3 linked regions of the Alligator mississippiensis genome follow. The protein of the gene in region 3 purifies or fractionates together with the protein of the main gene of each other region. This does not show direct contact. Links are inferred from orthologs where the notes say so. Each region holds a gene or a part of one and is shown on either strand. Other genes may lie near its edges.

Region 1 (7,676 bases), on a different chromosome or scaffold from region 3:
TAACTAGAGTCTATACATAGACGATTAAACCAATTTATAAAAAGTGTCCATATAGAATCTAGGTCAGCGGTAGGCAACCCCCAGCACGGGTGCCAGAGTGTGGCACGTGAAGGTATTTTGCTTGACACTCATACCATGGGGTGGATGGTGGGGAAGGGCCCAGGGCTGCACTGCTACAACAACGTACAAGTCAAAGTTGGGGGTGTTTCTGGCACTCTGCCCAAAAGTTGTCAACCCCTGAATTATAAGGGGGGGGGGGGAGGGGGTAAAAAGAGTAGTAATCTTAAATTCAGATTCATCTTGGAGTCAGGTAATTACAATAACTACAAGTTTCAATGTCTTTTCAGCTCCTGAAAGGGGAGACTCATCCTCTCTCAGAAGCCAAGCTCACCAATGTCTTTTTAATGTCCAAGTCTCGCAGAGTTAGTGCACAGAGCAAGTGAACCAAGGGTCACTTACTAATATAGGAAATATAGGAACAAGTTGCTTGCAACAAATGAAGAAACAGTACATGAGACTAAGGGCAAGAACAAACATGAAGAGATGCTGACCCTTCGTTAACATACCCAGGCAGACAAATTTAATTTTGACCACATTACATTTTAGCTGCATCTCCCTCCACCCACCACCTCCCCTGGGGTCTCCTGATGTCAGCAGACCAGGAGAAGTGCAGGTGAAGACTGTACCTCATCTACTTGATGCTGTGTTTGCTGAAGACGACGATTACTGCCAGAGGCAGCGCTTGAGCTTCCAGTGCCACTTGCCGACCTGCAGAGATAGTTGTAGTTATTTTATACTGCATCCCTAACTGGGACACAAGACTTCCAGACAGATTTTGTATGCAAGTCACAGAAAATGGCTCAGCAACCAGTCCCCATTCTCAGTAGGATGAAGAGACAGAAATGCAGTTATTGCCACAGTCCTTCAGTGGGATTCTTGCAACTGCCCACAAGAATAAAGCCTCATCCACCTGCTCTAAAGCAGGGATTGTGGGTAGCCTTCCTGCCACTTTCAAGCATCCCAAAAAACAAAGAACCAGAAAGCAGCAGGGTAAGGCACACCTGAGCTTCCTTGCTTCAGCTCCAGTTCTGGAGTGAGAGAAATAGAAACCGATGGCCAGTAAGTAAACCCTGGCAATAGCAGCCTCAATAGCAGCCTAGAGGCAATACAGACATTCCCTCAGACCACAGTCTCTCATAAGTTAGTAGTCTTTAAGCAGCAAAGAAGTGAAGTTAGCTACGGGCAGAGTTCCTAAGTCTTTATCACTAGTGCATGGCTGTAGAAGCAGCAGAGGGCAAGCAGAGGCAAACTAATACAACAGCCAAGAAAGAAATAAGAGATAAACAATAGCTCACATTGCTATCAAATGCCAAGAACTGCAACCCATCAATATTTTTCTCCCTTTTGAAATAAGGGCACATGAATTCAGGCACATTTTATTATTTGAACTTGGAAGTTCAATAGCTGTCAACAGAAATTCAGATCAACTTGTGGAAAAAGAGATGGTTTCAAGTAATTATGTCCATGCAGCATCTCCTGCTATTTAATAATTTTCCTAGGTCACTAGGAAAAGAAAGCCAATTCAGTATTCAGTGCTAGATATTTCAGAAGACAAGAAGCTTCATAAACAGTTACAAAGCTTCTCTGAACCCAGTTTTTTCCCCAGAGCCTCAGGTAGCAAGTGACTGTGTTATTTCCTTCTACAACTTTAAAACTTGAAAGTTTATAAAACACAGCAGGCATTTCCTCTCTCTCTCTCATATCCTTCCTAAGTTAGGGGAAGTTCTTCACTCATCTGCTCAACTTTTATACCTCTTTTATGAACACCAGGTGCCTATACTTCAGTGCAGAGGCTGCTCTGACATTCTGCAATTACAGTGTAGCAAACTCCACTAATGGAATCTGGAGTGCTAATTACCACACTCCAACAGCCAGCTTGCATCTGGTATATCATGTCCCAGCACTTCAAAATAGTGGTAAGGGCACTTTATTTTCAAACACACCCCACTGCCATTTTGAAGCACAGGGATGCTGATACACCAGACCCTTCAGGTACTTTAATTAGAGCCCCTCTAATTAAACTCCCCCCACCCCTGGAGCAGGTGTATAGAGTGCACTGTGCTTAGTATTCTGGTTTCCTCTGTTCCGGATCCAAGCACACCATTACATTCCCCTTAGCCAATATCAACAGGTGGCAGTACTCAAGCAATTAACTTTTTCTAGGAGTCTTGAAAGCAATATCTGCAGTTAGAAGCGACTGAACTACCCCCGACTTAGAAGTGAATTCCCACTGGGCTGTGCGTGGAAGGAAAGGGGAAGGCTCAGGCCCCTTGTCAGATCTCTAGGGGAATCCTCCCGGAGAGCTGGATCCCAGCACTGACAGGACTGGTGCCACCTTTTTGAGTATGGAAGATTAGCCCCAGCACCTTAAATCTTTCACGCAAACTGGACGCCTCTTAAACAGAAAGAAGGCTGCCGTGGCTCCCGCTGAGCTCGGGGCACTTCGGGCGGGTGCGAGAGCCCCTGGCAACGCTCTTACACGCAAGGAGCCACCGCGGCCGAGGCCCACGCTCGCCGCCCCCAGCTCCGGGCCCGGCCCCTCAGGACCAGCCAGTCTCGAGGAGCCTCTTGCGGGCGGGCGGGCGTCACGGGAAGGGACGAGCGGCTCCGCGCCCCGCCCCGCCCCGCCCCGCCCCGCCCAACCCAGAGTTCGGTCGCGGGGACGTCGCTATCAGCCCCCACCAGGCCCCAAGGAGCGCGACAGGCAGGGCCTAGTGCCGCCCCCCAGCCCGCCCGCCCGCCCAGAAGAAACCCAAGGACAGCGCCAGCTCCCGGCCCAGGACACGCAACGACCAAGCCGGGTCCCCACGGCTCCTCCCCTGCCCCGGACTCACATGCTGGCGGGCGGGCGAGCGGCCTCCTGCTAACCTCACGGGCGGCCCAGGGAGCAGCACCAAGCCGGAAGCAGTGCGCAGGCTGGGCAACGGCAGGATATGACGTCTGGGGAGGAGCCTCTTCAGCCCACGCCACGGCCTGTGGGAGGGGCCTGGCCTGGGCCGCCGTCGCCCGGGGCGGGGTCGCGGGCCGGGGGGGGCCGGGCCGGAGGGGGAGCAGCAAGGCTGAGCTCGCAGTCAGTCCGGCGCCGCCCGCGCTACCTGGGGCGACCCGAGCCTGCCGTGCCGCGGCGCGCGGGCCATGTCCGTGTGGGCAGCCGCCCCGCCGTCACCCTTGCTGCAGAGCGGGCGGCCCAGCCGGCCGGCGCGGCACGGAGCGGGGGCCAGAACCCGGCAGCCGACGTGCTCGTCCCGGCTGAAGGGCCTGGGCTCCAGCGCGCCCGTAGCGGCTGGGCCTGGCTCAGGAGGAGACTCGCACCCCCATCCGGCACACCCCGCCTGTCCGCCGAGGGCGCGAGGGTCGGTTGCCGGGCGCAGCCCCACCTGGATGTTAGTGAGGTGAAAGGTTCAAAAGTGCCTCGGGTCTGTAGGGAGCCTGCACCCCCTCCCCCTACCTAGCTGAGGGCTTGTCCTGTCAGTAATGGCTGGCGAGACACTGCCGTGTTAGTCTGAAGTCAAGTAGAAGGCAGGATAGTGATGACGGTGCCAGCTTGGGTGGGGGGGTGTGAACTCCAGCACTTTTGTGTTACTGTGTGGGGCTAGCTGGCAGGCAGCCTCTGCACTGTAGCACCCTCGTGCCTCAGCCAGCCCAGGCCACCATCTACATGTGTGTTCTGGCATATGCAACTACTCCACTGTAGGATAGTATTTGTCTCAGACAGTACTACCCTACAGCAGAGTTAATTAGTTTACTGCACTCTAATAAGAGGAGCACAGGTAGATGGTGATGCTTTACTGCAGAACTAATTAGTTAGCTCTGCGGTGAAGTGCACATGTAGAAGCACCAAGGGGTCATCCAATGTGGTCTTGCAGCTGTCTACATTTAAGTGTAGGGAAACCTGAAATCGCAGTGTCTTGGCCCGGTACAACAATCTACCTTGGCAGGCTTAGTTGTCTGGGATCTCTGCATAGTCTGTGAGGACACAGGGACTGCCGAGGTGTAATCTGGTTTGACCAGATATGCATGTTTGAATCATTTGACTCAGGACCAGCACACCTTCTGGATTATTTATGCTATAAAAGCAAAAAGGGTTATTTCCATTACTGAGGTCTGATGTAATGTAATTTCCCAATATTTCCAATAGGAGAGGTACTGACTTTTGTTTGCAGAAAGTTAAAAATTGCTAAATGAAATATATATTTTATTATTATATATTTCCATTACAATAGATTCTAAAGGCCTTAATCAGGACTGGAGCCATCTAAGTGCTGGTCAAATATTTCTTGATACTTTCTTAAGCTCCTCCTGTTCCATTTTATTCTGTTAACATCATTCATACATCTATAATCTTCCTGGATGTAGGGTTCAGTTGCTCCTTCCTGCAGGGAAGTGTCATTAATATTGTGCAATAGAAACATGAGCACTTGTACCCTGGTTTGCATTGGAAAGTGCACACTGTGAGTAGCACATCTCAGTCTGGAGAGACAGTGACTGTCATGCCTGGAAACTGGGCCAAATTCATCCCTGAAGGCATGGATCAAACCCATCAACATTTGATCAGTTTTCAGTTGTTTTCCTTAGAAATTATTCTGCCATCTCATACAGCATCATGATCTCTAGTATCTGACAGACACTAGTCTCTGAGCCTGGCTCAGAATTTATCTCCCCTGACTGTTGGCTTCAGGGGAGTTACAGCAGGGATGAATTTGCCCCCACATATTTTAAATACAGTGAGGTTTCTAGGGGTTGTAGCCATGTTGCTAAATGTTGCCATGAGACACATACAGAAAGGGAGACCAGCGTCCAGGACGGCAAAACCCATTTCCTTTCTGCTGTAAAAGCTGATTTAACAGTCAAAAGACAAACTTTTACCCCATAGCAAAGGGAACCAAAAAATGGAGGAAGGAGCCTTATCCAGCCTGTCCCACTACTGCCTAACTAGGAAGTGAGGTGTGAGGACCATGCATTCTCCCTGAATCTTTTATGGCAGTGCCCAACACCAGGCTGAGCATCTTTGGGCTGACCTGAGATCTTAGAAAGATGTGGCAGGCAGTGCACTTCTGAGTAATTACCTGGAACTCTTGGGGGCATCAGAAGCCAGTTGAAAGTCCAGTAAGTTTAATACTTAAGAAGTGTCCTGAAATGTGCTGGTCTACATACCGGATGGAGGGTACACATTACAATCCAGAAGAAAGACAGATCAAGAGATTTTAAGGATCACATTCTCTCAGATGTGAGTGCTTGGACCCACTCAGTGCAGTCAAACCTGCATATCCACTACACAGCAGGATTTGGGTCTATGATAGTTTAAAAAAAAAATCAAAAAAGACAGCTGCGTTTGAAATCCAGCCAGTCAAGAACCTGAGTGATGTTTGCAAATAGGTCATGTGACAGACTTGCTTTTTAAAAGGCTAACTATAGTTACTCAAGGAAGATGCAGCTCCTTGGTTAAAATGGAAGGTTAAAAAACACACACTTAGTATGGGGAAATTTTCTTTGTTTTTAATTTACAGCAGAAAGAATATAAAGCATTCAGAAAACATTTTCCATATTTTAAGGGCAATTCAAAACATTTTGCATGGTTCCAGCAGCTGAGTTCTTCAACAGATCCATTGATTCAGTGATGCTTTACATGCACAGTTACAAAAATAAAACTTACAAAAGAGAGACATCTATACTAGTTTTACATGCAAGTTTTGGGGACTCCCCATCGGGCGCCAACTACTGTGTGGAACTGCTGTAAGCGTGCAACCATAGAGGGGGTTCATGTTATATTCTGTATTTCTTTCACACAGTATTACTGTTTTCAGATGTGTTACATGAAGGAGCAATTCCACTTGCAGGAGACAGAAGATCCTGCTCCTGGCACTTGGGAATCCTGATTTTCCCAGAAAGCTGCACTATCATCTATTAAAATATGAGTTCCACAATCAAGAAAAGGGTGAATAGAATCACTTCACTTCAGTGGGACAGTGTATTTAACTCACCAGTGGTCACTGATACACTGAAGACTTATGACCTGACACGGCAAAGCACTTAAGGATATACTTAACTTTAAGCATGTGAATACTCCTATGGAAGCTAACAGAATTGCTTACATGCTTGATATTAAGCACGTACTTATGTGTTTGGCTGAAGCAGGGCCTCTGTCAGTAGATACATCACAAGGCCCATGGATTTGAAATAGCTCTGTATATTACTGACTCTGTCGGCATGTCTACATGTGCAGTTAATGCTATTTGGCTATTCTGTGCAGTAAATTTACAGCGCGGTAAACTAATTTACTTCACAGTAAGCGGTGACGCTTTACTGCACGGTAGATTAGCCTGTTGCACATTAAATCATCTCGTGTAGACACGGTTTCTCAGTACAAACGCAAGGGGTTAAATACTGCCACTGAGGTCATTACTCTTTCTTGTTAGGAAAAGATCAATTATATGTGCCATAATACTGGCAAATGGGACAAACACATTCAAAGTGTCAGAGTTCTTCCAGTACTAATACAGAGCATTCCAGAAGGAGTTTCTTTTTTCCATTTCCTGTTCCCATTTTTTGTGTGTGGAATACATAATGTGTATTCCAATTCAATAAAATAAATTGAAGTTAAAAGGCTGCCACAGCCACAATGTGGCAGCCAGACAATTTCTCTTATTGAATCAGATCATAAAGCAGCAGTTCACAAATGTACAGAGTGTTCTGATCATGAGCTATAGCACATACACTGTAATTCAATGCTGGCAGTGAAAAGAAGTAATTAAAAACAGGTACAATTATAGAAAAGGCACCAAGAGCACTGACCCCAGTTTTTTTGCCACAACCTTTGTCTTTACTTTTCTTTTAAAGACACCAGTTTAAAAGTTTATAATCTGTGATATTTTTAGGCTTCACAACAAGCCTTGCAATTACATATTTCAGTTGGTGGCCTGGATCAAGTAAGAACAACTATTCTAAAACTAACCATCTAAAATTTACACCAATCATTTGGAAATTTTAAACTGGCACTAGCAAAATAAACACACAGGAGCAGTTTCTGATGTTAGCTACACCTGTGTAAACCCAGAGTAACTGTGCCAATTTCAGGGGTATTACTCCTGATACGTCCCAGTGCAATTAAGATCAGAATCTTGCCCATCCTGTTTAAACTTTACGACAGTTTTACATTAGTATTTCACTTTTTAAAATATCTGATTTCTTTGGCTCCTCACTATGTGGAAATAGCAATATACCATGACACCCCTACAAGATCAGTTTGCATCTTTTAAGTTTTTACTTATTTTTATTTTTTTTTATTTTTGTGCAATTTTTATTACATTTTCTGACTTCCAGCAGGAGATATGAAAATGTGAAACATATTTTCTACTTTCATACTATTTCTTTTTTTTCAGTTTATGTTCATTCTAAGTGTTCTTTATTGGAGTGAGTGTATGGTGTTAAGCTAGATACGATTTTGTATTCTTATGATTATCTGCTTTGCGAAAGTAACTTAATTTTTTTAAGCAATATTAGCATTCACATTACTTGGCACCATTGGCAAAAGAAATACAGAAAGAAAGAAAATTAAAATAAAATAAAATAAACTCCTGGTAGCCAAAATCAAATGTAAACATATCCTTTTTTAGTAA
Region 2 (7,286 bases), on a different chromosome or scaffold from region 3:
TGTTGCATCAAGGTTGAATTTCCGAGGATTTGCTTCAACAATGCGTTAATGACAAGTCAAGGAAACACTACTGAACCAGTAGTCAGCATTCAGGCAAATATCCTGGCTACCTGAAAGGATACTACTACCTAAGTGCTATAATTAATAAAGTTAACTGGACCAAGATTTGGTTAGTTAGGAAAATCATGCATCTGATGCTTAACAGTCCTTGCATCCTGCCATTGTGTACCAATGTAAAGAGCCCGCTGGAATTTTTTGGCTTGCCTGACTGGCACAGCATAGCACTATCAGAAATTGTTAATTTTAATCCTTTTTCAACTCTCTTTTCTGGAGCTCAGTGTAACAGAGGACTGACTGCCTCCAGTTAAAATTCATCCCACAGAAGGAACCTTTTAGAACAGGGCATCTTACTTTTAACTATATGTTACTGATCAAGAAGGAGAGAGGACATATAAAAAAAAAAGGTTACTTTGAGGAAAAGCTGGCATGTCACTGACTCCACTGTCTAAACCAGTGGTTCTGAACCTTTTTTGCATTAGGATCCATTTGTAAACATTGATGGCCAGTCCCAACCCAGTGCCCCTCAATCCTGACCGAATGCCCTGCCGTTCCAGCCCCCAGTGTGTGGGGCAGGGGAGGGCCCATGCAGCCCCTCACAGGCTGGAACTCTGCCAGCTTGCAAGGGAAAAGTCACCATTTCCCAAGTTGTTCTCCTTTAAAGGATAATCCATTTTTAAAGTTTGTTGATCCATTTTTGTTTGAAACCCCTTCATATATTATTTTGGGTCACAATCTATAGGTTGAATAATTCTGGTCTAAACCATACAATGATATCTTATGAAAACAGCAGCTTCTGAAAGAACTTTATAGCATACAACGCATATTTTCCAAGAAACTGAATTACTCTTTAAAAGCCAGCCTCATCCTTCAGGTAGAAATAACACAAGGCTGTATCTAAACTGTAACAGGTCCATATAAAGGATATTAATAGTTTCATCCAAGTCTTCCAGGTCCCATTCAATGCTCCGCAGGTTGTTCCTGAGCTCATTAGTTGTCCAGTCAATTTCTTCTCTTGTGGCTATAGAAGGGTCTTGCAGGAGCTCCGTCCATCTCTGAAACAACCCCTGAGCAGTATTCACTGCTTTTTGGACCTCCCTGAAATCAAGATGATTAACAAAAATACTAATGACTCAACTACACAGAAAAACATTGTAGTACAGCTCTAACAGAATCATTCCACTACTGCTGTAACAGACTGATTCTCCATGTAGACAAGTGGTGTTTTTCACTGTTTTGGCTTTAAAGTTATTTGCATTAATGACCTCCTCTCAAGCATCCTCCCTTCAACCTGCTTGATTTTCTCTTTAAACTAATCACATAAGCAGAGAAAAGTTGGGCTAGAAGGGACCTCAAGGGTCATCTAGTCCAATCCCTTGCTCAAGGCAGGATTCCCCACAAACACTGGTTACTAGATAATCAGTATCTTGTCTTGTCTTCTACCCCAATAGAAACTGTGACAGAATTTCATAACAGAAAGACAGTGACAGTTATGGAAAGGATCTACCTCTTTCACCTATTGCTGTTATTAAAAAGAGAACTTTAACATTTCCCAGACAATTGCACTGCTTTTTCAGTACTCTTCTGTGGATGGAGGAACCCATGCTACTCTTTAACAAACAGACATTTTGCATTTCTATAGCATCTTTCATTCCAGAACCAACAAGGACGAGGGCAATCCTGGCATGTTTCATACTGTAATTTCCTATGCACATTCTCCACTACAACATGTTGCTACTTCCTAATCATGGACCATAAGAATTGCAGGAACTGTCCCTACAGAATTTCTGCATGAACCAACTGTGTCCAGCTTGGATCTGCTTATTTCATTTTTCTTTTTTGTAATTTACAGTACTTATTGAGCTATGTTTGCTTAATAAACTCAACTGCTTTACTGCTCCAACAAGTGTCATAGAAAAGTGTTTCAGATGTTAGCATGAGAATGCATGCTGCTGAAAGCACTGAACATTATAGTTATTCTCTGGGATCAGAGGGCAAATAGCAAATATCTACCCATAAACATATGATTATCTGCATAAGTAAATACTGCTGTCTTATTCCCAGGGAATATCCTTTCAAATGAATGGAAAGTTGGGATGTAACACTTATACACAAGAGGCATGTTAGCAAGCTTTTCAGGTCTTATGATCAGCTGTAAAAAGCTTGCCCCACGTTTAAGGGTTGCACATAACGTGCAGATCTGTTCAAAGATGTGGGGACTTCTGTTCTTTGACAGATAGGGGTTGGACTTCACTAATAAAAGCTTAGAGTTGATCAGCTGTGTCCTCAGCTTGTGGCCATGAAGGGGATGAACGTGGGCCAGTTAGAAGGACTGTGTCCCGCTTTGGGGTACCCCAGCCTGAAGCCCTCAGTTTTCTGTCAAGGGCAGGTCTTGTTTCCTGTGCTATGTTATCTTTCCTCCCTCCTCTTTGTCGGTGCTTCTCAAACTACACGAGAGCAGAAAATACAGTAAGGTTGTTCTTAGGATCCTAGGAAATTAAGAGCTGGAAGGACCTCACCAGGCCGTCCAGCCCTGCCCCAGCTCGCGGCAGGCCGGCTCCTGGCCAGCCCCTTCCAGGCAGCATCGGAGGACGGAAACTCGCTGCCTGGGCCCGCTCTGCCCCTCCCACTCCCTCAGGGACACCATGGAGCCGGCTCCAGCCCGGCACGGGGAGCGCGGCCGGGTGGGAGCTGCTCCAGCCGCTGCCAGGGCCGGTAACCTGCTCACGGCCCGCCCAGCCCCTGCTGCGGGCTCCCCCACCCGGTAGCCCGCGGGGCGCTGGAACCTCGCCCGCCGCCCCCGGGCCCCGCCCCGCACAGGCAGCCCTGAGCCGGGAGCGCCCGCCCCGCCCCCGCGGGGGCCTCCAGCCCCGGCCGCGCTCACCCCTTCACCACGAAGAACGGGTCCTCCATGGACATAGCGGCGCGGCGCGGCCCGACCCGGACCTAGCCCCGGCTTCCGCGCCCAGCCGGACTAAGCCCAGCCCCACCCGCCCCACCCCGGCCGCAGTCACGTGACGTAAGAGCACCGCCCCGCCCCGCCCCGCCCCGCCCCGGCGCTGGGGGGAGGGGAGCCCGTTCCTGTCGTCACGTGACAGTAACAGGCACAACCCCGTCAATCCCCGCGGGAGCGCGGTGTGCACTTGTGCCTGCTGCTGTCACGTGACAGGTACAAGCCCAGCCCCCGCCGGGGGACGCGGTGTGCGCGTGTGCTTGCTGACGGAAGTACTGCGCAGGCGCTGCAGCCCCTTCCTCTCCGCCGTGACGGCTATGCCCGCGCCCTGCCTGGCTCGGCCAATCACAGACTTCGCGGCCGCTCGGTGGTTGGAAGTTGACGCGGGCGGGCGGGCTGCGCGGCTTGGCTGGGCTGGTGGAGCTGTTCCAGTTTGGGGCCTCCGGTCCCGCGAAGCAGGAGGGTAGGCGGTGTTCCCGGGTGTACGACCATTACCGATTTGTACAATAACTTCGACCCTTGCACGGTGTCCGGCCAATGACAGTAAAAGTGCCCAAAACCTACCATTTACTTTTCATTCCATCCAGGAAGAGCGCACACCAACTGCTGAAACTTCCTTAGCCTGACAAAGGGTTTTTGAACCCAAAATCTTGCTTAATACATATTCTCCAACTATTTGAGTTGGTCTAATAAAAGATATCAAATTCACCCAAGGACCCTTGTCTGCCCAAAACCTACCATAATTTTTAAGCAACTGATTGCTGCATCACTTGCAAACCCCAAATTGTTTCCAGAGGGCTTTAGCTAGGTTTTGGGTTTGCTGTCAGTGCTTTTCTATGCCTACTGACCTTGAAAGAAATGAATCAACTTTAAGATCCAATTCTCACTTGCTCACTGGCAAGTTACAGTGAGCAGTACAAGGTAAATAAGACTTACTGGCAGACTTATTTGCATATTTTTTCAGTGTAGGGCAGCTTTTCAGCAAATATGATAATTTTGAGCTTCCAATACAATAATTTAAGACTCGAGTGCCGTGAGGTGACGTGTTGTTCCCGGCCGCCTGGGGCCTGAGGAAGAAGGAAATCTCCTCTCACTTAAGGGCCAGCAAGTCACAGCGCCCGCGGGACCCTTCATACTGTTCTTTTATTTCCTCTGTCAGAAAACACAGAAAACAAGCTGCCATTTTCCAAGAGCCGCCTTGAGTCTAGTGATGGGCACCTTGAATCTAAATACAGTTGAGAGCCACTGATAGGAAGGGAGGATACTCTCGTGGGGGGAGCAGGGGGGCAGGGAGCAGATGCATGCATGGGTATGGGTGAAGCATGTGGGGCACAATTTGAGACCTTGGGCAGGGACCCCTGAACCGGCCAAATAATGTGACTGCACTTTTGCTCTGTCGTGCCAGATGTCCCAGCTGATAGTGCTTTAAAGTAGGAAGCCTGTTTGGCAAGGCGACTTGCTCGCCGTGGGAAATCTGTGGAGCAGTTTTGCAATCTGGAACAGGATAATCGTGAATGTTGAGGGAAAAGCCATTGCGGATTGCGAAACCAGGGAATCAAATTCAGTGAGAGAGCCTCTTTAACGATAGGCTTTGGATTTTAAATAAAACGCCCCCTTTAATTGGGATGATGTAGTCACACGTCGGAGTCCTTTGTTGCATGTTCCCATGGCTTGAGTCATCCGTAGGCAGATGGAGAGGCATGCTCTGTCCAGAGTTCTTCGCTCTCAAGAAGAAGGACACTTCTTTGTGAAAACAGAGGGTGTCTGAGAGGACAAATGGAAGGGACACAAGGGAAGCAGAATGGGGAACCTGTCTCAGGCTCTTCTGCCCTTCCTGTCCTCGTCCAACCTGCAAAAGAAAACACTGGGGTCTGTCCCAAAGACTACTACTGATTCCCGTCTTTTCCAGGCTCCCCTGTCACCTTAAAGTTTCACAGTCCCATTCTGTTTGAATTCTACCTCCCTTTACAATCTCCCTGCCCAAGCAGCTGCCAGTTTCAGTGAAGACAACTGCCTGTGTAGTTTCCACCACCTTTTCTGCCCTATCTGTACGTAGGGTGGCCATCATAGAGGACAGTCCGGTTGTCTAGACTAAGTAGCAGAAAACAGAGTAGCAGAAAACTGGAATGTCCTCTATGATGGCCACCCTACCTGTACATCTACACCAGTGTTGTTGCCTACTTACATCCGGCTGTTCCTCCAGTAACTTTAGGCCTTTGCTCTTCTACTTTAAAAGTACTGAAAGGCTAGGGAGACCTGTCTGCTGGGGTCTGACCACAGTTTTGGTTGAAGGAAGAAAGTTAACCTTTTTCATGAGAAAGAGATATATGTGGCTTTGAATTGTTGAGCACTTTCTCATTCTTCATTTCTTTCTGGGAAAACTGTTGGCACAAAAGCTCTCCCCAGCTGGGAGTCAGTTTCTCCATCTGAGAATGAAGCCTTTATTTCAATTGAAATGTTCCCGCAATACCTGCACAAAACCAGTAACAGTTACTCCACATTCCTCTTCTCCTTTTCTGGAAGCAACAATAGAGGCTCCTATGTCTTTTATTTGGTAACAGGTGTAACTAAATACTTCCATGTTCAAGTGCCAACTGTTTTTCAGGTGCCAGCATGATCTGAAGAAGCAAAATTTCTCGATGTGTTGCATTTCATTTGTATACTATAAATTGGTTCATGCAGTTGTGTACTGAGTAATTTTGCTACCTTCCAGGAAAACACTGGTTCAGAAGTGCAGAGATCAGTAGCTTTATCAGTGAGACCTGTTGCACATTTTTGTGGTAGCCAGTTGGTAGTTCTAGGCTGGTAGTAGCAGTTTGGTGTCTTCAGAAATTTTGCTGGTGAGTCAGCTTAGTTTGAACTTGTTAATTACGAAGACAGTTTGCTGACATGTAAATGTATTTCTACACAAATGCTGTATTTTAAGAACATCTTGTTAAAGGTTATCATATTTGGACTTATTCAAGCAACTGCAAAAGTCCTAACAAAAGTGATTTATGGTGCTTTGCTGTCAGTATTGTGGAGTAGTGCAATTCATCTCACTCAAGTGTGGGATCTCATTCAACATTATCTGGATCAAGAGTGAATTAAACAGAGAACAAGTCAATTCAAATAGTAGCTTGTAATAGTAATTTATGGAGATTAGAAGTTCCTTAATAAAGTACATTAACCTTTTTTTAGCAGAGTTGTAGTGGTACTGTAGTCATGGCAGTCATGGTAGTCCAGGGAATATGCAAGTAACAAGTTTTGTTTGGTAATTTTTTTTTACCGGATAACTTTATAGTTGAGAGAGAATTCTTTTCTCAAGTCATTCTAGGAAAAAGTTTAAACAAGTTGGAAAATTGCAAAGATCTCTATTGAATAGCTGAGAATTTTCAAAATTCACAGCAAGGAGGTGGTTCTTTTTTTTTAAGCTGAAAGCTAATTTAATATAAATGATATTTAAAATCAAAATATCACACTATCAAAAAACCAAGCTCTTTTGACTTTCTAGGATGGGTGTGGTCTTGTCTCAGTTCCTGAATGAAAGTTTTGATTTCACTTTGCAGTGCTGCAGATTGCTCCAGTATGTTCCTCCCCTGGCCTGCCAAAAATTTCTGGTAGAGGAGAGTCTTTGTAGGCTGCATCCCACTGTAGAGCCCACTGGGAACTATTCAGTGAAAAATATTTGATTTGTTGAAGCCATACCAGTTTTGACAAAATGTTCATCAAGAAAGAGTTCTTACTGTGCCTGTACACACATGCATGTACCTGTCATCCCAGAAGAGCCATCGCCTTCTGAGCAGGATCCTCTTCTGGAATGTAGGAGCCCCATCTTCAGGTCCCTGCTCTTCTACTCCCCTTCACCCTAGGTTAGTACCCCCAACCACTTTCTCTAAAATCTAAATCTCTCCTGTGGGAGCCAGAAACAGTCCCCATAGTCCAGTCATTAGAATACTTGCCTGGAATGTGAGAGACTGACTCTTCTGTGGTGTGTGAAGGTCTTTATCTTTTTCTCCTCAAGAAATGGTAGAGGGCCTTGGTTTCACTTCTATGCAGAACAGAAAAACCCAGAATATTTTGAAATCCTGAAAATTTCATAGATTCATAGATGTTAGGGTCGGAAGGGACCTCATTAGATCATCGAGTCTGACCCCCTGCATAAGCAGGAAAGAGTGCTGGGTCTAGATGACCCCAGCTAGATACTCATCTAACCTCCTCTTGAAGACCCCCAGGGTAGGGGAGAGCACCACCTCCCTTGGGAGCCCATTCCAGACCTTGGCCACTCGAACTGTGA
Region 3 (8,073 bases):
AAATGGATTCTCCTTCAAAAAGGAGAAAAACGTGGGAAACCTTGGCTTTTCCCTTGCAGAGTTCCAACCTGATGCCCATGCCTCCCACACAACCTGCCCTGCCCCACACACAGGGGCCTGGCGCTTGGCCATCAATGTTTACAAATGGTTTCTGGTACAAAAAAGGTTGAGAACCACTAGTCTAAACAATACCTCCTGATGGGTGTGCCTACAGGTATGACTGACAGATGCAGCCTGTGTTTATAGAGAAGGGTTCCCATTAGAAAATAAGGACAGCAAATAGAAAACCAACATGATCTAATTGCTCCAGTCACAGAGTGGAAGCCAGGGCCTCCCAAAGGGTAAAACTCAGCAAGTTTTTATGGCCTCAGGTGTGCCATAACTACCCATGTCTCAGTTTCCCTTCCGGCAAAGTAAAGAACCCTTCCTCAAAGAAATGCACAATGAATCAGCAAATTGATGTCTGGACAGATCTGAAGTTAAAAATGCCAAGTATTACTACAAGTTCAATCACCTATTTTCAACTGACAACAGAGGGCCTAGGCCTTGGTCCTTCATGACCAGTACACATGAGCAGGAGGCTCAACTCCTGCATGAACTGAAGTTAGAAGAATTCTGCTTTTGTTAGAAAAAAAAACCTCAGTCCTCTGCTCATATCCATATGGGTAATACGAGGTGTTAAAATCCCTTCCCCCATGCCAGCTACTGTCCCTTATCTAAACAGACAGGACAGCTGAGACAACACAAAAAAACCACACACACTACTCTGCACCCTCCCAGGCTTCACTTATTCATTTCCTGAACACACTGCACAGAGTAGAGAGCTTGAAGAATAGGCACTGGTAATGCCATCTCTTCCGGGTAACACGTTAATGTGCTCAGCTTCACATGTGTCCAGTCAAGGTTTGCTGCTGGGAAAGCCAATAACTTGCGTCAAGAGTCCTCTCCCAGTTGGCTGGTATCCAATCATTACACAAGGATTTTACACACGTTGCTAGCTGCTGTTGCTGCCTCAAAACGCACTAGTGAAGACCATCGCTCATGGTGCTCAAGTTTAGAAACAAGAGCTCCATTAAGAATGTCTTTGCGCCACTTGCCAGCCCCTGTTGAAGAACACCTCAGGCCAAAGAGCTGCCTCAGCAGCAGGCAGCCCTAGGGCAGGCCCTCTCCCTTGGTCCTGATAAGCCTTCCTAAGGAGCTGCTTGGTCCTCAAAAGCAGCGTTTATCAACCTATGAGTCATGACCCAAAAGTCAGTCACAAGAATATATGAAAGGGTCACCAACAAGTTCTAAAATTGGATTGTCCTTTAAAGGAAAGACACATGGGAAACGGTGGCTTTTCCCTTGCAGGCTGGCAGAGCTCCAGCTTGTGGGGCATGGAGGGCTCCCAGGCAGCCCTTTACACCTCCCATTGTGCCCCACATACAGAGCCATCCCTTGGGTAGGGCGAATCAGGGCAACCGCCCTGACCCCCATGCTTTGGGGGGCTCTGTAGAGCTGGGCAGAGCAACCACACGTCTCCCGTAGGGCCTGCCTGGAGCTGGTGGCTCAGCCCCCTGCCGCAGAAGAAGCATCTGGCCACTACCCACCAACCCCCAACCCTCCCTGCAGACTCCTCCTCTGCTGAAAAGCGGCTTGTCCCAGGCGCTCTGGATTTGCTTGGCCCCAGCGCCAAGTTTAATTGCTATGGCACTGCTGTGCCCTACCTTTGCAGGGGTCCAACAGCCCCGCACAGGCTGATTTGCCCCGGGGCCCGCATCCCCCTAGGGTTGGCTGTGCCCACACATGGAGATGGAGGCAGGGGGGTGGGAGTGAGGGGCACCAGCCATTGGCATTTAAAAAAAAAGAAGTTGGGAACTGCTGCTCAAGAGCGCAGAGAGAAACACTGGCCCGAGCAGGCTTGGGATCCCTGGTATCACGTCCCCTGGAGCCTGCTCCCGAAGGCAACACCAGAGAGGTTACAGACCCGAGGGGACCCGGCAGCCCCTCTCCTGTGGCGGCGGAGGAGCAGGTGTGGGCGCAGCAGCGCTCCCACCACGGCGGAGGCACAGGAGGCCGCTCGGCTTCTCCAGTACACGGGACGGGGGGCGCGCCGCAGGGGCCAGCAGCCCGCACGGGCCCCGGGACGGCTCGACCCGTTCACAGCCCGCGCAAAAGCACCGCAGCAGGGGCCGGCGGAACCGCAACCGACCCCCGCCCAAGCCCAGAGGCTGTTGCTCGCCCGAGGCAGCGTGACCCGCCACCTCCGCGCCTCCTCCCCCCGGCGGAGCAGGCGGGAAGGCAAACCCCGGTCCCGGTCCCGGCTCCACCGACAACAGGCACCTCTCACCTACCGCTGCCGCCCTCGAGGCTGGGCCGTAAGTGAAAGTACCGCCACTGCCACCGCTTTAACAGCCCATCGCTCGCCGCACCGAGTCGCAGACCGCCGCTGCCGGAAGCGGAAACCCCGCCCACTCGGAGGAGCCGCACTCAACATGGTGGGCAGGGAGGGGCACCATCCTGGGCGGGGCCTATCGCGGCAGGCGGAACCGCCCCAAAGCCACACCCGATATAGCGCCCAGCCCTCTGTACTTGCGCTCTAGCTACTCGATTTGCTGTTTTGCCTGGTCTGTAACGAGCGGCTCTACGCTGCATCAGGACGTTTTTCTGGAAGGCTTTTCTGTGTGTCCCAGGGATCCCTGGCCCAACTTTCTTCAGCCCCTACCTCCCTGGCAGGCTGTGAGGAGCGCGTGACCCGGGAGACCACCAGTCAGTCGCTTTCGGGAGCGCCCTTCAGCTGTGCGCGGCTCCTGCGGTCCTCGAGCCCCTCCCAATGCTCCCCAGAGTAAGGCGCCAGTGTCCCCATGCAGCCGGCTGCCCGCAGGCGGGGATGATCTTGTGGCGCTTCCCAGGCCCAGCACAAGGAGAACCTGATCGGAGCTGAACGGCGTGAGTTCCCACCCCGAGAAGAGCTCGGCCATTCGTGCTATGAGGATGCGCCCCCGGTTGCTCCTGCAATACCTCTTGTTTCCCTCCCTCCCCTTTCGCGCAGGATCGTTGCACGTGGCACAGCTCAAGAAGTCCCGCCCGGAGCTGCCCTGGGCGCGTTGTCCCGGAGACCCGCTTGCTGGCGGTAACGCCCTGTGGGCGGGTCACCTCTGCCTCCCGGCCGTCCCCGATCGAGTACGCAGCCTGTCGCCGGGACTACAATTCCTAGCGGGCGCTGGGGTATCCCGGCAGGCAGAGCGCCGCCGCCGCGGCCGATTGGCTGAGCGAATGGGGGCCTTTCCTCGCGCCGCGCCGCGGTTCCCTTTTGGGTCGGCGCCGCCACCGCGCGGCGGGGAGACGCCGGTTGGGGACCGCGCCGGGTGATGGCGGCCTGGGCCGCCGCTCTGCTGTGGGACGAGGAGGACGCGGCCTGTGAGTCTGGCGGGAATGGGGCCAGGGCTGTGGGCGCGGGGTCCGGCTGGGCTCCGTCCTGGGGAAAGCGGGGGTTTTGGCTTCGCGGGGCGCCTGCCCCAGCGCCCCCTGAGGAAGCTTCGTACCCGGCGGCCCTCCCTGCCTGCTGTGCGGGCGGCTAGGGAGGAGATCCCCACACATGCCTCGCCTCGCTTTTTCTGTAAGGCAGGGGTGGTCCCTGTGGCACAGGGGCACGGGCAGCGCGTGTGTGGCACGCGGGTCGCTGGGGGACCACGGGCCACACCGCACCCGGTGTGCGGGGGTGGAGCCGCGAGCCAGGCAGGGAACACAGGATGGGGAGAGCAGAAGGCAGAGCAGTGGGTTGGGCATAGGAGGGGATTGGAGCAGCACTTGGGAAAGATGCAGGACTTATTTGTGGTATGCCTGCCAGAAAGTTGACCATCACTGGTCTAAGCCATCACAGCTACAGCTGTACTTTGTCACACCAACATCTTAACCTAAAAAAGCACATGCCACAGAAAACAAGAATGAGACCTGCTCTGTTGATGCAAAGGTTAGTTAAATAGCAATGTTACATGCAGCAAGCACTTCCTCATGCTTTCTGGAGAAGGTGTAAAGTAAGTTTGCAGATTGCAAGGTGCGGATGTGTTCTGAGGAGCGTATCAAAGGAAATGAGCATGGAGGAATAGTATGTTATGTTGGGAAAGTGTTTCTGGGGTTATTCTTGGACCTCCCTTACTAGTCAAGTCTGTTATTTCTCCATTCATTACTTTATGTAGGGAGAAATTGGCTGCAACAGATGAGATGGTAACTTATTCTCCATAGCCTATTTGCTGATTAGCCTTTGGTACTGGTAAGAAGTGTGAAAGACAACAGCTTTAGCATCATCTCTTCCCCCTCCATATGTACGGTATTGTTAAATCAATGGTCTGTCCTGAAGCTTCCAGAATACTGTTTAACTTCATAGTTCCCATTTTGCTTGTGAAGCAATATGTGCGTAGGAGGTGCCATCAACCTGTACCTTGATTTATGCAATATTTAGAATAATAGAATAATATTTAGCATTTCTTGTGTTTAAGCTGTTTACAAATATAAATTCTTCCAACATTCCTACAGAGTAGGTAAATAGACTTAAACTGAGTCAGTTCTTGCTGGCCTTATTTTTTTTATTAAAAGTTTGTCTCTACAGGATTGGGACTTGGGGATTGGGGCATATTTGAATTAATTAAGATTCCTTTAATCATTAAGTGGTTGCATGTTTCTGCAATGGATTTGCCACTAGGGGGTGATACAGACTTTTTTTTCTTGCTTGCCTGTTGCCTTGCTTAGGACTAGTTATTGAAAGCAATAGAAGAAAACATAGACTACAAAAAAGTATGTTTTATTTAAAACATTACAGGTGGCATGTGTATTTTTGCTCATATACAAGATCATGCTGAATTACATAACTATTTGTAGCTACAGGTGATGAGATTTTTTTTTTCTTTTATCCTTTCAAACTGGTGCTGAAAAGCCTACTACCATAGATAAGAGTCTGTTTTCAGATAAAATGGAAGAGACACCAGATAGCTATCATGTGCATCATTAGGCTAATATCATCATTTACCTTTCTGTTCTTTTCTTGGTATTGAAAAGTTACTGTGCCCCATCTATACTAGTAATTAAAATATTCTTCAGTCTAGCTAAGAGAAAATCAGAGGCTTGTTTTTGAAAACATAAGAAGCTGGGACCTTTATTAAAGCAGGAAACCACTGCAGAGATAACAGGTATGAGAAGTTGGCTAGCTGTTGTCCTCACAAGGTGAGGAGAAAATAGTCCCTTTAGGCCCCAATTCATTAGGGTGCTTCTGAATGTACTTAACTTTTATTTGAATGCAGGACAAGGTGGTACCTTATAGATTTACTTGTTCATAGAGTTTTTGTTGGCTACAACATCCTTGTCAGATACTATGAATGGACTTGCATGCTGTCTACCTTGCAGCGGAATCAAAAAAACCTGCTCCTTAAAGTGGAGTGGCGCATGTGGTGGCAGCATGTGCCCCCCAAAACCAGATCTTGGCCTTCTGGAACCATTCTCTGGCTGCCAGCCAGGTTCCCAGCTGCAGGAGCACCACAGCTGTGACTCCTCAAGGGCCGCAAGTAAGGCTGCTGGAATCCTCCCCTACCCTACCTGACATAACCTGCCGCAAGCCAGAGGGCACATAGCATAGGTTTATCTCAGGCAGCACAAGGTGTGCTGCTGCTTCTTGTCCTCAGGCAAACAAATGTCCACCCAGTGAGCAGGGGTGTGCGGGCCGGGAGCGGTCCGAGATTCTCGGGGGTGCGCGGCGCGGGCTGTGGCCAGCAGCCCTGGCACGCGGGTTGGGGAGTGCAGGCCGGCAGACTAGAATTAGGCACGGACGCTTAGCGGTTGATTAAAGATTATTTTACTTACACCAAAGATGGTCGTGGTGCAGGCAGGAAAACTTGCTTGAGTTGCAGTTACAGACAGAAAAGAAGAAAAGCGGACGAGAGTTCCTTCCACGCGAACCTCTAGCCCAATCCGGTTGAAGGCTCTAAACACGCAAGCCCATCGTGTCAACCGAAGAAAACAACTCGGAGAAAGAGCTCTGGATACACTCACACGAAGTTTGCTAGGCTCCGTGGAACTTGCGCGCAGGGAAGGGGTTCGTTGAGGGATCGTTCGGCGACGGGGAGAGGCCAGAGGTTGATCAGACCCCTATAGCCTTCTCAAGGTATACGCTGGGTCCGATAGGCTCCGCAGCGTTTAGAGATCTTCACGAGACATGAAGTTCTCCTTCTCCTGATAGTTGTGGAGTCCTCCAACTTGGGCGGAAACCGCTCAAGCCGCTTATACGGCTAGCAAGCCAATCACTAGCCGTCACGTGGGAATAATTTAGAACTGGCCAATAGTGGGACACAAATTTGCATGCGGGTGGCAGGAACTCCTTTGCACCGTGCATTTCTCTTTGCAACTAAGAAATGCACCCTGCAAAGAAAGCTCCTCGTGGTGGGAAATAATTTAGCAGTGCCGAAGCGCACACAAACAAAATCACACCCTTGGGTTGTGACAAGGGGTACCAAATAGAAAGGAAGAAAGTCATTTAAATACAAGAGATAAGGAAAGGGGAGCAGAGAAGAGAACACTGCTGAGTGAGGGAAAAGTGGATTGAAGAGGGTTGAAACGGTTAAACAAAGCTTTTAACCCACTGAGGGACGTAGGGGTTATATAAAGATAGTCTAGATCATGGGATAAGAATTTAGAGTCTATATTAAGCTATGCATAACACAGTCCAGCTTGTGGATGATTTCTTGTTCTTCAGTTTAAATGTTTGAGCTTGCTGGTGTAGATGCATATAAGCTATAGCATGTACTGCATCATGTGTGGCTTATTGACCAAAGGTAATAGAAAAAATGATGTGGTTTTTTTTTTTCTTTGACAGGGCTGAGATGGAACCTGTAGATGCAGTACATCTCCATATTACTAAAGCCTTTGACATTGTCCCACATTGCATTCCCATAAGCAAACTAGGGAAGTGTGGTCTAGATCAACATGACTTGTCAAACATGACTTGCAGCCTGGATTTGGCATGCCAGACCATTCTATCTGGTAACCTGTCATGCTACCACAAGTTGGGAGGTGTGCCCTGTTACAGAATTCATAGTCCCTGAACCCTGATGGACATGGCATCAGTGGCAGGTCCTGGCCCTTTGCCATCTTCCAAATATGGATCCTTTGTAATTGTTGCTGGTCATGCAGATACAGCCTGAGGAGCCCCTGCAATCTGGGTCCAGCCTGCAGCCTGAAGTGAATTTGTCACCCTTGGTCTAGGCAAAATTGCCATAAAGATTGGGCAAAAGAAATCTCGTGAGGTTCAACAAGGACAAGTGCCAAAGTCCTGCACTTAGAATGGAAGAATCCCACACACTGCTACAGGCTTGGGACCAAATGGCTAAATAGCAGCTTTGCAAAAAAGGACCTGGTGGTTACAGTGGACAGTACGCTGGATATGAGTCAACAGTGTGCCCTTGTTGCCAAAAAGGCTAACAGAATACTGGGCTACATTAATGAGGCAAACACAGATCATCCAGATGTGGCCTCATCACTGCCAAACAGAGGGGAAAAATCACTTTCCTCAATTAGCTGGCCACACAAATCATGACATTTTTTTGTGATAAATTTAAAGTATGTTATAGTAGGTGTTTGAGTTTTAGCGTATGTTTTTTTTTTTGTTTTTTTTTTCTGGTTCCAAGATGATCGTCAGCCAGCCAGCTGCCACTCCCCCACAAAAAAAAAAAAAAAAAAAAAGTGTTTCCAAGAGGGCAAGGGGAGGACTTCTGGTGGCAAAGGTCAGAGGTTAGAGCACAGGACATCCAGTCTCAACATGTTGACCATGGAGCAAGGCAACTGTCAAGGTGTGGTACTATCCATGAAGCCCTCAACAGCTCACCAAAACTCATTAAGCGGCCCTCTGGCCGAAATAATTGCCCGCCCCTGAGCTAGACTGTTCTTATTGGTGGCAAATAACAGGCAAGGAGCAACAGTCTCAAGTTGTAGTAAGGAAAGTTTAGGTTAAATATTAGAAAGAACTTTTTCATGGGGAGGGTAGTAAAGCACTGGAACAAGATACCCAGAGAGGTTGTGGAATCTCCGTCCTTGGAAGTTTTTGAGACC

The links.
Region 1: the proteins of SNAP23 (region 3) and VAMP3 purify together in Homo sapiens (affinity purification with western blotting; 6 studies listed by BioGRID and IntAct, with this or other methods). This does not show direct contact. The link is inferred for Alligator mississippiensis from reciprocal best matches to the Homo sapiens genes SNAP23 and VAMP3.
Region 2: the proteins of SNAP23 (region 3) and STX6 purify together in Homo sapiens (affinity purification with mass spectrometry; 3 studies listed by BioGRID and IntAct, with this or other methods). This does not show direct contact. The link is inferred for Alligator mississippiensis from reciprocal best matches to the Homo sapiens genes SNAP23 and STX6.

What each region holds. Positions count from the first base shown.
Region 1 is NC_081836.1:20,082,091-20,089,766, reverse strand, and holds the start of VAMP3 (vesicle-associated membrane protein 3), read right to left. Parts: upstream 3,003-7,676; 5' UTR 2,897-3,002; coding exon 2,895-2,896; intron 769-2,894; coding exon 687-768; intron 1-686. UniProt on the Homo sapiens protein: SNARE involved in vesicular transport from the late endosomes to the trans-Golgi network.
Region 2 is NC_081828.1:52,539,796-52,547,081, forward strand, and holds the start of STX6 (syntaxin-6), read right to left. Parts: upstream 3,051-7,286; 5' UTR 2,977-3,050; coding exon 2,942-2,976; intron 1,156-2,941; coding exon 986-1,155; intron 45-985; coding exon 1-44. Other genes in the region: uncharacterized protein LOC132250811, read left to right, coding at 3,328-3,473. UniProt on the Homo sapiens protein: SNARE promoting movement of transport vesicles to target membranes. Targets endosomes to the trans-Golgi network, and may therefore function in retrograde trafficking.
Region 3 is NC_081825.1:237,543,975-237,552,047, forward strand, and holds the start of SNAP23 (synaptosomal-associated protein 23), read right to left. Parts: upstream 3,090-8,073; 5' UTR 3,001-3,089; intron 2,796-3,000; exon of another isoform or gene 2,705-2,795; intron 2,458-2,704; exon of another isoform or gene 2,330-2,457; intron 1-2,329. UniProt on the Homo sapiens protein: Essential component of the high affinity receptor for the general membrane fusion machinery and an important regulator of transport vesicle docking and fusion.